Linked DNA regions of Arabidopsis thaliana. The main gene of each other region encodes a partner of the protein of the gene in region 2 in a complex. Each region holds a gene or a part of one and is shown on either strand. Other genes may lie near its edges.

Region 1 (4,820 bases), on a different chromosome or scaffold from region 2:
CATGAAAATAATGTCTTTTGCTATGCTACTTGTTCTTTTGTTCTCTATTGGTTAGTCTCTCACCATAAATTTTGATATTTTTGGGGATACAAAGATGTATTATATAAAAAGTTTTTGTTTGATCTTTACGTGAATCTTAAAGATGAAAAATTGTTGTTTGCATGTTATAGATGTCGTTGAAGGATCCGGAAGTTCGTTGTGCTGTAACACACATGCGAAATTTGGAGCTTGCAACACATACCAAGACAGAAAGAGATGCAACAAATGGTGTCTTGATGGATGTGATAATAAGAAAGGCGGTTTTTGCAAACGTTTTGCTGGTGGAGCAAAAAAATGCCATTGTTACTGTTAAAAAAAATATGTTTTTATGCTTGCGTTTGCAATCCTCGATTGCTTATTCTAACTAGTATTAAACTCAAAATCTTGTCTTCACTGTTGATTATATCTTTAGTATGTGAAATGGTCACTCCTGAAAACTTCTTTCACGTTAGTTTAAACTTTTCAAGTTAACAAAATTTGTTTAAAATCGTATCTAAACCAAAACGGTACCAAACCAAATAGAATATAAAATTGTTTTGCTCATAGGTATGACCTCAGAATAGCGATACAATCGTGTTTAAACAAAAAGGACCAATAAGCTATCGGCAAAAATAAAACTAACACCAATGTCTCAAATATGTTTTGGTCTTTGTAGCAGCAGCTAGAGTAATAATACTGGTACAAAACAAACAAAAACATTGAAAAGTACCAACATCACAGACTTAATCTTCCTGATTAACTTCAAGGTTCTTCAGCTTCGATTCCAGCTCACCATTCCCATTACCTTCGTTCTCTTCATCTTCTTCGTCTTCCTCATCATCATCATCTTCTTCTCCATCAGGATCATTCTCATCCAAAGCTCCAAGTAACTCTGGGGATTTCTTGAATATCTCTTTCAATTCTTCAATGCCTTCTTCTGATATGATGTTCCCGTCAATGTTCAACAGCTTGAAAGCTTCTTTCTTCACAACAACATGAGCCAAGGCTCGTGCTCCGGCTCTTCTTATGTAGTTGGTGCTCATATCGATGTATTGCAGTTTTGAGTGACCCTCTTCTATACAATTTGCAATCTGGACACATCCCTCATCTTTCAGCTCATTCTCAGACAAATTCAACTTGTTCAGATCTTGTTTTGCTGCAACACAGGCTGCGATAGCTGAAGCAGCTTCAACTGTTATGTCATTTCCTGCCATCTCTAGAACTTCAATGGGCGAAGCAGACTCCTTTAGAGCGTTTACTATGGCTATGGCACCTTCATCCTCTAGATTTAGATAACTCAAGTAAAGCTCAGTCATGTGTTTGAAGCTTGAAAGAGTTTTGCTCAAAGAAACTCCGGCTTCTGTGCCAAACATATTATCCCGCAGATCAAGTTTCTCCATATGAGTACAATGCTCAAGTGCTTCTGACAAGGCGATTCCCCCTTTTGAGCCGACTCTTGTGGAAGAACAACGGAAATTCTCCAGCAGTGGGGAACGCTTGACAACCTCTGCAATAGCGAGTGCCCCTTCATCTCCCGTCATGTTATTATGAAAATGAAGGACCCTCAAATTCTCTGTTGAAGGAATCAACTCGGAGACCGCTTGCGCAGCTTCCTTAGAGATACCATCATTCATCAAATACAGCTCTTCCAAAGAGCTCAGAGATTTTAAGAGTGCCCCAAACGCTCTAACACCCTTCTCACCCAATGCATTATCTGATAAGTTGAGAGACGAGAGAATACTACCTTGCAGTGCGTCAGAAAATATATTCATAACCTCAAGAGCTTCAAGCTCAGGTCGTCCAGCAACAAAGTCAGACAAGTCAACTTCCTTAAGCTGATCTTTCAAAGACGCCAAGATAGGCTCAGCGACACGAGCAGCTCCCAAGCCAAAACTCCTATTACTAAAGCATATCTTAGTGTAGGCATTGCCAGGTTCCTTCAAAGGTTTGAGAAGCTCCTCAGCTTCCTCAGCCTCAATGAAAGCCCGTTTACCTTTAGAAATATCGAAAAAAGTTTCGCGGGGAGACACAGAATCCTCAGAAATCAATTCTCTTGCCGCAACTTTAGCAACAGGTCCTTTCTTGAGAACTTCTAAGATAAGCTTACTGCATTCTTTGGCATAAAGCTGTACAGCTGAACCACCATCACCATCAGGCTCCCTCTCAAACTGTTGGTTAGCAGTGGAAAAAGCAATATCTTCGATCCTCTTAGCGTTCTCCGTAGCCTGGTCTTTGGTTAAGCTACCGTACTTCTCAGTGAAAATAGTCTTGGAAGAAAAATTGTTGGTTATACGCTCAATGAGAGCTTTTCTTGTAGGTAAACTCGGTGGCCAGAGTTTAATCGAAAATGCATGAGGTCGAGAATCAAGTATATCAGCCATTATCGCAAATCCAGAGTTTTAATATCACTGCAAAAACATACACACAAAAGTTAGAAATAATCAGAGGAGGCTCTATCGTAATCACTAATCACTTAGGAGGATTAACATTGAGCCCAAAGGAATAACTAATTGATAAATCAGAAAATGCTGTGACTAAATCAATAACAGAGATTAAGGAGAGTAATCTCGTAAAGATCGGAGATCCTATAAGTGGATAGTTTCGAGAAGAAGCATTAAATCACCAACTACGAGGAAGGAACATCGGTGCTTAATCACAGGGTAAAATCGGATCAGACAAATAATTATCCGTTTGCGATGAGAATAAACGGAAATGAAAAGCGTACCGGACCGATGAAGATTGTCTGAATCTCGGAGCTCTGAGACTCTCTCTGGCTGCAAAATCGAGTGTGTTTTTAGGGTTTCTCCTTCACCGGAGCTCTTTAAAACTCCCTCCTACGTTCGTTGAACCAAAAGTCTCTATAGACTAATTTAAAAAAAAAAAAAAAGAGAAAGGTTAATAATTCATCGTGACTTGAGTAATTAATCACTTTGGAAGAAAACGTAATTAATTAGAACCAACCTGGTAATTTTGAATCTTTCATGTTAAAGAAAACTCCTTTATGTGTAATGTAATTTTCAGTGGCTTGTGCTACAAAATACTTACAAGTTACAGTCTCTAATCATCAGTAATACTTTCGATTGATTCTTTATTTGTAAAACAAAAATGGGATATTATGTTCTGTGTTGAATCATCTCTTAATTATTCAGACATGAACTCACTGGTCACCACTACCAATATCAAATCGTTACAGCTACGCTTAGTCACAACCTACCCAAAGTATCTTTTCTCAACAGAGAGGATAGTTGGAGAGTGGATTTTGAATTGAATAGTGGAAGTTATACCACAATGGTATTTTTGGATACAAAGGGTAGCGATTTCATTCAAGACCGATTGTGATCAGAGGAGATTAATTAATACAATACAAAATGACCAAAACGAACCAAAAAGCACAGCAAATAACTAAGACAACCCAGTACAGGACGATAAAGACCTCTAATGGCGGCTCTTGATCTCTCTCTCTCTTTCTCTCTATATAATTCCTTGTCTACTTACCTCTAGTTAAGTGCAGTCTTCTTCTTCCGCATTCTACAACCTCAAGCTTTGCAGGTTTGTAGTAGACTTTGTTAGGGCTCTACAAAAGTACTCTCTTATCTCTGGTATTGTTCTCTGCACCAGCTCGTTCTGCCTGCATTTTCCATTCACTTTTGTTTCAGACTAATAGCAATAAAACAAATCTTAGTGGAGAGAGAGAGTGACATCTTGTTTATATTACCAAGGCATTGAACTCAGTTTATCGAAATGCTCCAGGATGAACATGATACAAGCTTGCCTCAGCGACATCGCATGGAATGCTTCTGATAGCTCGTACATGTCTCCTATACTTTCCAACGTAATATCCTTTCATATTCAAAGTAACCGTGTCAGATTTCGTTAAGTACTACGCAAACCACATCATCACTTTACATTGTGATATAATTCTGGCTCACCTGAGCAATTGTGTATTCACAGAGTCGTTTCAGGCCCTCCAAGAGATACTGATCCGCTGCTCTTAGAAGATCTTTTGATATCTCATTTGTTATGTCGACAGATCCAGTGTATATAAACCTGAAAATCATAATCCAAGGGAGTCAATTACGTGTATATGAAAAGTTCTCACAGACTTTTCGAAATTTCAATATCTCGAGTGAGTCAATCAAAAGCATGCAGAGGTTCATTCATCATACCTCATCATTAACTCAAACACCTCCCATTTGATATTTGGAATCTCAATATCTCTAGCGTCTTTTTCCTGTGATATAAACGAAACACAAACCGTGACACAATTCAGGTCTAATTTCCCCAAAAGATAATTGTATTCCTTTGATAAATAGCAGACCAGCATACATCCATACGTCATTGTCATCAAAATATCATTTACCCCACAAGAACATTATCGAAAAACCAAAATATTTAGTTCACTTACTCTGTAACCACCATCAAACATTGCACGAAATGCATCTGAGGATGCCAGCAGACAAATTCTGTGTGCATAGAATGTCCTTCCTGCAGTATGATTTTTCTGTTTTACATATGGACTTTGAAGCTAACTAGAGTTCCACAACTTCTGGATTTATATATGATTACCTTCGACTAGAAAGGTTACATCAGACAGCGTAGCATTATTTACATATTGCTCTCCGAGATAAACCTGTCACAAAAAGACATACAGAATACTGCATTGAGACTTCCACCCGTTACCTATAGGAGAACTGAAGCAGAAAGGAAACTCACCCTTTGTGTTGGAGAAGGAGGAGCAGCATCAACTGGAGAAAGTGCCATAGATTTATTTGCTAATTTGTACAACGCTGCTGCACCGTCAA
Region 2 (5,184 bases):
GAAAAATGATTAAAATAAAATAAAGGAAGAGTAGATGGACGGTCCGGTTAACGCAAAGATCGAGGTCATTATTAGTTGGCCTTGGGACTTGCAATTTCCAAAGACCTAAGAAATTAAACCTTATAATAATTGAATTCTCCAGCCCACACCTTCACTTTATCTTCTCTTTTTCTATTTTTTAATTCCCTAATTATTAACCATAGTTTAACTTTCTATATCATAGTTTAATCTCTTGCTGCATAATTAAACGTCAATATTGTTTATCTCCACTATGTAACTAGTCATTTTTTTACACATAAGAGCCATACAAGAGAGCTCGTAATTAGTTTTTACTAACTATACCACCCATTATCACCACATGTGTTATACTCTTTCCATTTCATAATGAAAAACTATTTTGGACTTTTAGGCATATATATAGTATTAAAATCTATGTTTGACGACAAGAAAATAGTATCAGTTTTTTAAGTAATTCACTAGTAGTATATCTTACATATAAAGAATGTCTAATTCAAACACTATATATGACAAACCTGATATAAAATATATTATCAGTAATATTATCAAATTGTATAACGCTTGGAACCATAAAAAAAAAAGGAACTAAATTTTAGTTTAACTATGCTCTAAAATGGTCAAGTTATCAACGACAACTAGGGAATAAAGAAATTTATTTTAGCAATAATTACCTTGACATGTCTTAATAATAATCATCTAATCTCGCATGCATAGATTCCTTACCTCGAATGTCTTAGCATGCACTATATAACAAGGCATGAACAACGTAACTAAATGTCCATATATATACTAAACAAACAATCTTATGATCTATGTATTTCAGTACATGATATCACACCAAGTTGCTCTATACGTAGTCACGGCCACTTAAGAGCCCAATCACAATCACCCTCGTCTCATCCTAGTGATCTTTCTGTCATATACTTAACACTTCACCATTATAACTGCTTTCAAAAACAGATCATTCACATTTTCACCACCATATAACTAAACCATCATAAACAAAGTAATCACATCATGTAGACTATCAATTTAACATCTCCTCTACATATCCACAATTACGTTGGTGTCAAGTCTCAAACATATGTTGACAGTGAAACAATTTATCTCTCTCATGTTTAGTCACTCACGGTCACGAAATTGAATTAGAGTGGATACATGTCATAAATTCAATAATATTATCATTACACACATGCTATTCTATAATAAATTGCATTAACTTTGGGAATTAAATTGTCCACTAACAAAAAAAAGATACATTAAATTTTTTGAATTTTTGAATAAAATTATAATCTTAAATGTGAGTGTATCATGTTATTATCTAGACGTTACAGACGAAATATAATTCTAAATCAGAATTTTTGAAAAAAAAACTTTTGAAATATTACATTAATTGCTAACTATATTACAGTTATATTTAGGCCTTTTTAGCTGTAACCAATAAGAGCAGCTTAAGCAGTCGTTCTTCTTCCTTACCAATAATTCAACGTCCACCACAACATAACACTCACGCTAACGTAAGCGAAAACGCTAGCATGCGCGGCTCTTTCTTTATCGTTGGATGACTTGTAAACAAATTCCGCGCATTTTAGCATCAATTTTTCTGACGCCAGAAAACACCGTACCATTCTTGAAAGGCAAAATTGGAGTTCGTTGACGGAGTAAAAGCTCTCTCTGTTTTTTCATCTACTCGAACTACAGATTTTCATCGGTAAAGTTTTGATCTTTTCAGATCCTCTTTGAATCTTCAACACTCTGTTTTGTCTGTTTCCAAGTTTTAGTTTTGTTCTTGTTGAATTTTGATATTTTTGTTCTGGTTTTATGGTAAAGTTTGAATCTCGTTGTAGTAAATTGTTAAATTAGTAAGAATTTCTGGTGGATCTCTTTGAAAATGCTGAGTCTTTACAAGTATGTAACATTAACTGACTTGGCTTATTGGTCTCTTTCTTGACAAGTGGATTCTTCTCAAATTTCACTTCTCTTTGCTTAGGTTTTGTTCAAAGTAAGGATTTGATTTAGTTGCACTTACTATAATGTGTTTTTGGGTACTTGGATTACATTTTCAATTATTTGCTTGGATGTTCTGGTTTCAGTTGATGAATGATTGGTTTCATATAGAAGAATTGAGCTATGACTAGTGCTAGGATTGGAACTGCGATACCTCGCATTAGAAAGATAGTGTCATTTCACCTAAGTATCCATTTTTTTGGATTAGTTTTTTTTTCTTGTTCCTAGCTAAGCTTTGAACTTTTGATTTTTAGGCCAAGAATGGAGGAAATCATTAGGGAGGACTATTTTGAAGCTTTGTCTAGTAGGAATGAGGAAGAGCAAGAGATGTTGAGGATGTTGACAAAACTAGAGATAGACTCAGCTTATACTAGTGAAAAGTTGATGAATCTGCATGTTCTTCTTATGCATCTTTTGGCATGGGATAATGATCTTGAAGGGATGGGGACACTTGATTCTTCTCCAGCATCCTTTGAAAAAGCTTTGACGTTTGATCTGTTATGCGGTATATTGGAGTCAGAAGTGAAGGAGGTGGACGAGGTTTTGGATGTGTTGGAAGCTCAAATAGTTGACACTTCTTACAAGATATCTTCTTGCAAACACGGAAATTATATTGTTATTGAAGGAAAGTTGGGTGAATCTGCAGAATCATTGAAGCAGTCTAGAGGACAAGTCTCAGAGATCACTTTGCAATTAGCTCAGCTCCGAAGAACACTTCATTACATAAGAAATGGAACAAGTAATCACTTTTGATATATGGTTGTTTTAAAGTTATTGCTGCTTTGGTTTTCTTAGCTTCTTGTTGTTATTGACAAAAATGTTGGCAGGTGAAAACGAGGAGTCAGTGGAGTTAAGGCAGAAATATGCGCTGAAACCATCGGACTTGAGGCATAAAAATGCTCTGAGGATGCTGGAGAAGTCATTGTCAAGAGAGCTAGAGCTTGAGAAGAAGTTAATGGAATTCCAGCAAAATGAGGAACAGTTGAAACTCAAGCTACACTACACAGAGGAGGTATCTTCTCGGATGGAAGAAGCATCAGAGTTTATATGGGGACGGTTTCTAGAGGCAGATAATTCTTCTGAGGTTCTTACAGGTATTTCAAAGGAACTTGTTGGTCGTCTACAGATTCTCCAGTTTAGTCTGAATGGGTCAGCACAACGGGAATCCGAACTTAAGTCTAAGCTTGAAGATTGCACTGTACAACTGGAAGCGAAAGATCTTCTGGTGCAAAAGCTTGAGGGAACAATTTCAGAAAATAGTGAAATAGTTTCAGAAGTACTCACTTTGAGGGAATATGTGAAGTCAGCTGAACAAAAGCTGAAAAATACCGACCTTGAGCTGAAAAGTGTCAACGCCTCCAAACAAGAAATCCTGGTACATCTAGCTGAAATGGAAAATGCAAATGAGTCGGTCAAAGAAAACCTTTTCGAGGCTGAAAGCAGAGCTGAGAGTGGAGAAGCTAAGATTAAAGAGCTAGATGCTGCAAATCTTGAACTTACTGAGGAACTAAATTTTCTCAAAGATGCGGATGATAAAAAGACGAAGAAGGTGAACTCTCTCGAGAAGCAAGTCAGGGAATTAGAAGTTCAAGTACAAAACTCCAAGGTATCATCAGAAGCAAATCAAGAACAGCAGAACATGTTGTATTCAGCAATATGGGACATGGAGACCTTAATAGAAGATCTCAAGTCTAAAGCCTCAAAAGCCGAGAGTAGAACGGAGACAGTGGAGGAGCAATGCATTGTGCTTTCTACCACAAACTCTGAACTCAACAAAGACGTGAGCTTTTTGAGGCAAAAAGCCAAATCCTTAGAAGCAATGTTGGATCTAGCTAACAATGAGAAAGAGAGATATGCACAAGAAATAACTACAAGGAACAAAGTTTTGATGGATATGATGTTGCAATTATCCAGTGAAAGGGAGCGTATACAAGAGCAGGTACTTTTTGGCTAAGTGCATTATTGTTTTCTTTAGGCCAGGGACACAAGAGCATAGCATTGTTGACACATTAATGTTTTTTCTTTCTCCAGCTATATTCTTTGGCAAAAGAAAACAAAATACTTAGAGTGAATCAGTGCTCAAATACATACCAAAGAAATGGATCTTATGCTGGGGACAAAGAGCTGTCGTTTCACGCAGATGGTCACGAAATAGAGGCACTTGCTGAAAGTCTGCAGGCAGGTATTCAGTTTATTTTCCACAAGAAAAACACGAAATTCCTTGTACTTTCTTGTGTATTAGTGTATAGCTTTGATGCTTCAGAATGGTCGATGGGGCAAATATAGATCATTGTTGGGTCATGGATGTGAAAACCAGACATCTCTTGGTTACTAATCTTATGTGGGTCTTTGCTTTCTTTGAACAGGAGGATGAGAGAACAAGGGAAGAACCAGAGAAGCAGTCTGTGTCTGAAAAGAGTAGCGAGATCAGAAGAGCAATCAAATTGAAACACATACTAGTTGTGGCCTTAGTTTTTGTGCTGTTTTGTTCATTCTTTGGTGTGACTTATTAAGGAAATATATCTTAGTGAAAATGTCTTGGCCATAGCATTCGCCATTTGTACATTGTGTTGTAAATACTCATTTATCTTGTATTTATTACAAGCAATGTATCTCAAGTGTTGGTTTATCTCCTCTACAAAAACAACACATTTCAATTATTAAGTGATTTCCTAAGATGGAGTGATCTCACCAGTTGGACTAAAAAAGAATCAGACTAAATTTGGTAAAACCTTCACACAAAAGATTTGTTGCCATTTAACTTCTTTCTCTATAAGAGAACAATCTGAATTCTCTGTTCATCACTTTTACAAAAAAAAAAGAAACAAGAAAAGATTTTGAGGTTACAATTAGTAATGGAGAAAACGTCTCTCAAGCTTGTCTTCTTGTTCTCCCTCACAGTCATAGCATTGTGTAATGCTTCCTCTATAAAAACTTCTTCTTTGTTATAAAATGTTTTGCTTTGGTTTTTGTTTTGAAGTTTTATTATGGTGTGTACTTGTGAAGGTTTGTCTTTGAGTGCCGCGAGAGAGATGGCGAAAGAAGAAGTGAATTGCATAGGCGGCCATTGTCCTGATGGAAAGAAGGACTGTAACTGCTTGCCTCTTATAGCACCAACAATGGACATATATGAGACCAATGAGTCTTGCCGCACAGATA
Region 3 (5,043 bases), on a different chromosome or scaffold from region 2:
GCATAATTAAAAATGAGTACTATCAGAAAATTTTATGTACTTGAAAAGATCAGCAGCCATCTGCAGATGATGTCTAGATTCCGGATCCTTTACCACTGAAGAGTCGTGCTCTCTCCCTGAGGAAAACTCAACATTTCCAAGATGTAGAATCGCAGCAAGTGTGCGAAATATCCCTTCCTGATAAATGATTTGTGCAGGAAACAAGCAAGGAATTTCAGAAGCTGGCAGAAGAAAAACATATGAAAATTCAATTAGAAGTCGTTATACCTGCTCATCCTGACTTATGCCCACAATATCCATTGCCCTCCTTGTATTCTTATACTCTTCTGCGCTGCTGACTCCTTCTAATTCATAGGTCTTGCTTTGATTTAGATAATGAAATTGACGAGGGTTGCTTAGTTTATATTTCTCAGCGTCCTAAGCAAAATAAGAACATTTACAGATTAGTAATTAGCGTAGGTAAATTGACAAACTCAGCGAGAAAAACCTGGCGTAGCTCAATCAGATAATAAGAAAACCAAAACCAATCTCTTATGACATGTATATAGAGCTGTAAAAAGAATTACATTCCCCGAAGCGCACAATTGATAAAAACAATGATAATTCCTCTCGGGGTCTGTTATCCGGACAACACGTGATCTCTCCAGAAGATAGGTTCTGATTGCGGCACCAGATATTCTACCATTTGTGTCAAACTGGATTTCGACAAACTTTCCAAAACGGCTGAACAGCAAAAGAAGATCAGTAGATTGGTCAGTAGATTCGTCTAAAAGCTAGGCACACAAAATTTCAACCAAAAGGTTTACTAAAACCATATCAACATCATAAAGTGCTGTTATCACTGGGTATTAAGGATACTATCATGAAAAATTTGTTGACAAATGACATAAGAGCAATTAAAGATACACCTCTCAATTTTCATTGAAAAAATAAACAGAAAGAAAAAAAAAAATCAATAACCCACCTGGAATTATCATTTCTAACTGTTTTTGCATTGCCAAATGCTTCCAAGAGAGGATTTGACTGCAGAACAAGAATACTTAAATTAGAATAGATAACTCGCAAATAAAGAAAGTCAAACATGATCACCCCTAAATATTTATCTGCAAACAAATACCAGGGGAGGAAAACAAAGGCATCTATCCAGTTCTTTTTTTCTCATTGAACAAGATAGAAGACACAAATTTTATAACCAAAATCTTACTTCAAGGACTTGCTGCTCAACACTTCTATCATCGTCAGTAGCACGTCCCCCAACAAATGTAAGATACTGCATGATTAGTTTGGTTGTCTCAGTTTTTCCAGCTCCACTTTCACCGCTAACAAGTATTGACTGACTTCGACTGTCGTCAATCATTGCTCTGGGTTATAAAGAATAACTATGGTTAATAGATTAACATGACTGATAGTAAGATTTTAAAAAATCAGAAACATTAGAGAAAAAAGAGTGGATCACCTGTATGCAACATCAGAAACTGCAAAAACATGAGGACTGAGCTCACCGAATGGTGCTCCCATGTACTGTTCCATCATGTGCCCATTGTAGAGATGTGGAAGCTTTTTGAATGGATTAACAGCGATCAGAATGCTTCCAGTGTATGTCTGAAAAAGAAGTCGAACGTATTTGTAAGAAGATAATGCAGTCATGAATGATTTACTATTGGAACTGCGTAAAAAGCTGACAGTTATGAGTGGCAAAAAGAATGATACAGGAATTATTACCACCAATACTTCCAACTAAATATTATCATCTCAATGGGGACATAAATAAATTAGACACCAAGCTGCCACCAAATGTTTTACAAAAGGGCAAGCCAGCTGAGTACAAAACTGTCTAAAAAATAGATACTTTCACCTACTAAATACGGAACAGAAGCTCTCCATAACTTTAGAAGGAATATTGAACCTACAAATAATTCACAGTCACAGGGCAGTCCAACAAACTAACAAAAAGTTGTTACGAATACACAAGGTTGATTATCCCGCTCCCGCCAATAATATTGTTAATATTGAAAAAAGCAATAGTTAGGGTTAGATCACAAGATGTTTGAAGTGCGATTAGATACCAAATAGGCAAGTAAATGCCTGTAATGATATATGCATTATGTCACAATAAATTTCTTCACTTCGATATCTATCTTTTTCGGCTAAATAATATATCAGGTCACATCTAGATGCATCCATCATAAAGAACCTGAATCCACTTCACATGGAAACATGTCTTACACCACATATTAATACACAAGAAACTCCAAAAGCAACAGTAACTCGTTCTAGAGGAAAACTCCGGCCAGTGAGTACACTAATACCACTACGAAAATGAGTAAACTTCCATACGGAATGAAATCCGACTCAATAAAGTACCCCCGGAAGTATAGAAACTAAAAATTCAAACTCCAAATATACTCAGAAAGACCTCTCAATAAACAATACCAAAGAAAAAAAGAGTGAAAAGAACTCACATAGATATCATTCAGAGCATATCTCCTCTGTAGATTATAAAGAACACCAGCTTCGTGCAAGTATGTCAGTTTGGTCATATCATCCACTCCATTATGCTCTTCATCGTCAGGATCCCTCCGAAATAGCTTTTCCGGGGAAACAAAAACCTAAAACCCCAGAAAAAAAATCGCACAACAGCAAAAATTAGCATGAATAAAGCATGAAGAAGAGGAAGAAGAAGAAACAGAGCTAATTCAGCAGAAATAACGGTTAATCAGACCTTCTTCCCAGTAGAAGTTTCAACATGGAGTTTGTTATCAAAAGAATCGAGGACATCAGCAGCAATCCAAGCCAAATCCTTATCTTCGACCCAAACCTTGTCGCCCTTGCGCAGATTCAATTCCATTGGAAGACAATTTCTCATGAACTCGTGAAGAGCTCGACGAGAAAACCCTAGAGAATTAGATTGGGGGAAGCAAGAGTCATAGAGAGAGAAAGAGAGTCCGTGAGGTTGCGCCAGAGAATTTTTCAAATTTCAAAATGAAGAAGAATTGAGAAACCCTAAGGAGATAGAGAGAGAAGGGGCGAAATTTTACTACTGTGGAGTTTTTTTTTTTTAAAGGTTCAAAGTTACTTAAACCGCTACCCAAAAAAGTTCCCAAAAGCAACAAAAAAAAAAAAGAGCATCAACAACAACAATTACTTCCCGCCCTCTCGGATTTTGCATTAAAAAACAAAAGAAGACTAGATCCAAAACAAAAACACAGAAGTTTTTAGGGATAAAAATTTACGTCACATTCCGGAGTAAATGCCAAGTTTATTATCTTTGATTCGAATCATTTATAGGGTTTAATCCTTACTCGCAAAATTGATTTCACATTAGTAAAACAAACTGTGTAGTTAATTTACTGACGCTAAAAACTTGTTATTTTTAGTAATTTAGCAAATTAAAAATAGTAAGTCAAAAATGTAGAAGGCAATATTTGAATATAACATTCTTAAACGATAGTTAGTGAGGTTTATTTATATTTATTATAATTACTAGATCTCTTTTATAGAGAAAATATTCCAAAATTTGTTGTCGATTATTGTTGTTGTAATTTCATATATGGTGATGAGAGTCCAAATAAGAGTTTGGGGGAAGAAGAAGTCCAAATTATTATCATCCAATACGCATGAGTCCAAATTTACATTCCAGATTTCTTCCTTCATTCATATTTTAGACTTTAGTTTCCAAAAAATATACTAAATTTTTCTTACCCCCTACTTATTCCAAAAGTTTTATTTAATTTTTATCTTTGTTATGTGAGTCAATGTGGATCAAAGCTTAAAAGGTAAATTGATAAGGTAAATATAAGATCTACATATAACAGTAGCAACAATATCATCAACCACGTACACAAAAAAAGTACTAATGTTGTTTAGGTTTGTGTCATCACACAAGCATCCTAAGAAGGCCACAGTACAAACTCCAGAGGCCTATATGCACTACTGAAACTTATGACTTGGAGCCATTTACAACCCAAACACCACACCACACAACACATTATTTCTATAATCTGCAGAAAAAGTTGTATATAATCAAACATTTGGCGCAAAACCCTAATCTTGCAAGAGATTTGGACTGCTGAAAACGCGTTTCAAACTAGGGCACACTGTTCGGAACTTTGACATGCTCACCGAGGATATCTGTTAATTCACCAAGACAAGGTTTTAATTGTTACATAAAAATGGATTACTTGCTAAGTTTTCAATATCGAAGTTAACACTCGTTTATTGTTAGTACCTTTGGACAGAAACGAAGATCCAATGTCTCGAGTGAGCTGCATCCTGATATAGCCGCTTCAACTCCTGCTTCGTCCATGTTACAAGACTACCAAAGACAAAAGGTACCAAAGTGTGTTTAGTGGTAACATATAGACCCAAGCTTAAGGTACCAAAGTGTGTTTAGTGGTAAAAGTTACGGAGCAAAAACATACCTGAAGAAAGAGACTAGCTAATCTTGGACAGCCGAGCTTCAATACTTCCAGAGAGCAACAGTTGCTAGACAATTCGAAATGGAATTAGCAATAGAATAAGACCACTCATTTCATGGAAGATAAAGAATATAAGTTATCTAGCAAATGCAAAAGCTCAAACCTTAAATTAAGTAAAACCAGGTTGGAACAGGTGAGATCAACCTCCTTCAGATTGACCGATAACGAAAGGTTCAGTGTTGATAAATGGTAAAAGCGAGCTGCAGGTGGTATCAGCACTTTTCTAATATTGGGGCAACCCACACAGTTTAGGTTTTGCAGTAACCGATTGGCTGTTTCAGCTGGTTCCTGGGTATTGTCACTAGAACTGTAGACCCCAAAGTAATCAAAAAGATGTACACTGGTTGAACCCCAATCCAGGTCATGCATGTTTACACATCCGTTCAAGCTCAAATGGGTCAAGTGTGTGCAGCACGCAAGTAGATCATCTATCGCAGTCTGACAGAGAGTTCCATATGACAGGTCCAACTCCTCAAGTGCCGGTAAAGCACCTTCTTTGTATAGAGGCTCCAATGATGAGTCAGTAAGATACTTACAGGCTTGTAATTTGAGTACCTAAACAATA

What was found.
Region 1: WIT2 (region 2) and RANGAP2 share a complex: the UniProt entries of both Arabidopsis thaliana proteins name them as parts of the ran complex.
Region 3: WIT2 (region 2) and XI-I share a complex: the UniProt entries of both Arabidopsis thaliana proteins name them as parts of the LINC complex.

What each region holds. Positions count from the first base shown.
Region 1 is NC_003076.8:6,504,549-6,509,368, forward strand, and holds RANGAP2 (RAN GTPase activating protein 2), read right to left. Parts: upstream 3,098-4,820; 5' UTR 2,980-3,097; intron 2,891-2,979; exon of another isoform or gene 2,884-2,890; 5' UTR 2,744-2,883; intron 2,427-2,743; 5' UTR 2,400-2,426; coding exon 762-2,399; 3' UTR 544-761; downstream 1-543. Other genes in the region: AT5G19315 (Defensin-like (DEFL) family protein), read left to right, coding at 1-50, 171-352; ARIA (ARM repeat protein interacting with ABF2), read right to left, coding at 3,547-3,646, 3,734-3,858, 3,948-4,065, 4,185-4,249, 4,424-4,503, 4,585-4,648, 4,732-4,820. UniProt on the Arabidopsis thaliana protein: GTPase activator for the nuclear Ras-related regulatory protein Ran, converting it to the putatively inactive GDP-bound state.
Region 2 is NC_003070.9:25,907,588-25,912,771, reverse strand, and holds WIT2 (WPP domain-interacting protein 2), read left to right. Parts: upstream 1-1,663; 5' UTR 1,664-1,729; intron 1,730-2,233; exon of another isoform or gene 2,234-2,279; 5' UTR 2,280-2,286; coding exon 2,287-2,764; intron 2,765-2,852; coding exon 2,853-3,964; intron 3,965-4,056; coding exon 4,057-4,203; coding exon of another isoform or gene 4,204-4,207; intron 4,208-4,391; coding exon 4,392-4,538; 3' UTR 4,539-4,641; downstream 4,642-5,184. Other genes in the region: AT1G68907 (Defensin-like (DEFL) family protein), read left to right, coding at 4,881-4,938, 5,032-5,184. UniProt on the Arabidopsis thaliana protein: Together with WIT1, required for the nuclear envelope docking of RANGAP proteins in root tips. Plays a role in nuclear shape determination.
Region 3 is NC_003075.7:16,011,927-16,016,969, forward strand, and holds the start of XI-I (myosin), read right to left. Parts: upstream 3,044-5,043; 5' UTR 2,867-3,043; coding exon 2,723-2,866; intron 2,610-2,722; coding exon 2,463-2,609; intron 1,603-2,462; coding exon 1,457-1,602; intron 1,362-1,456; coding exon 1,205-1,361; intron 1,024-1,204; coding exon 965-1,023; intron 724-964; coding exon 567-723; intron 418-566; coding exon 268-417; intron 178-267; coding exon 41-177; intron 1-40. Other genes in the region: SLOMO (F-box family protein), read right to left, coding at 4,045-4,131, 4,229-4,315, 4,422-4,485, 4,582-5,033. UniProt on the Arabidopsis thaliana protein: Myosin heavy chain that is required for the cell cycle-regulated transport of various organelles and proteins for their segregation.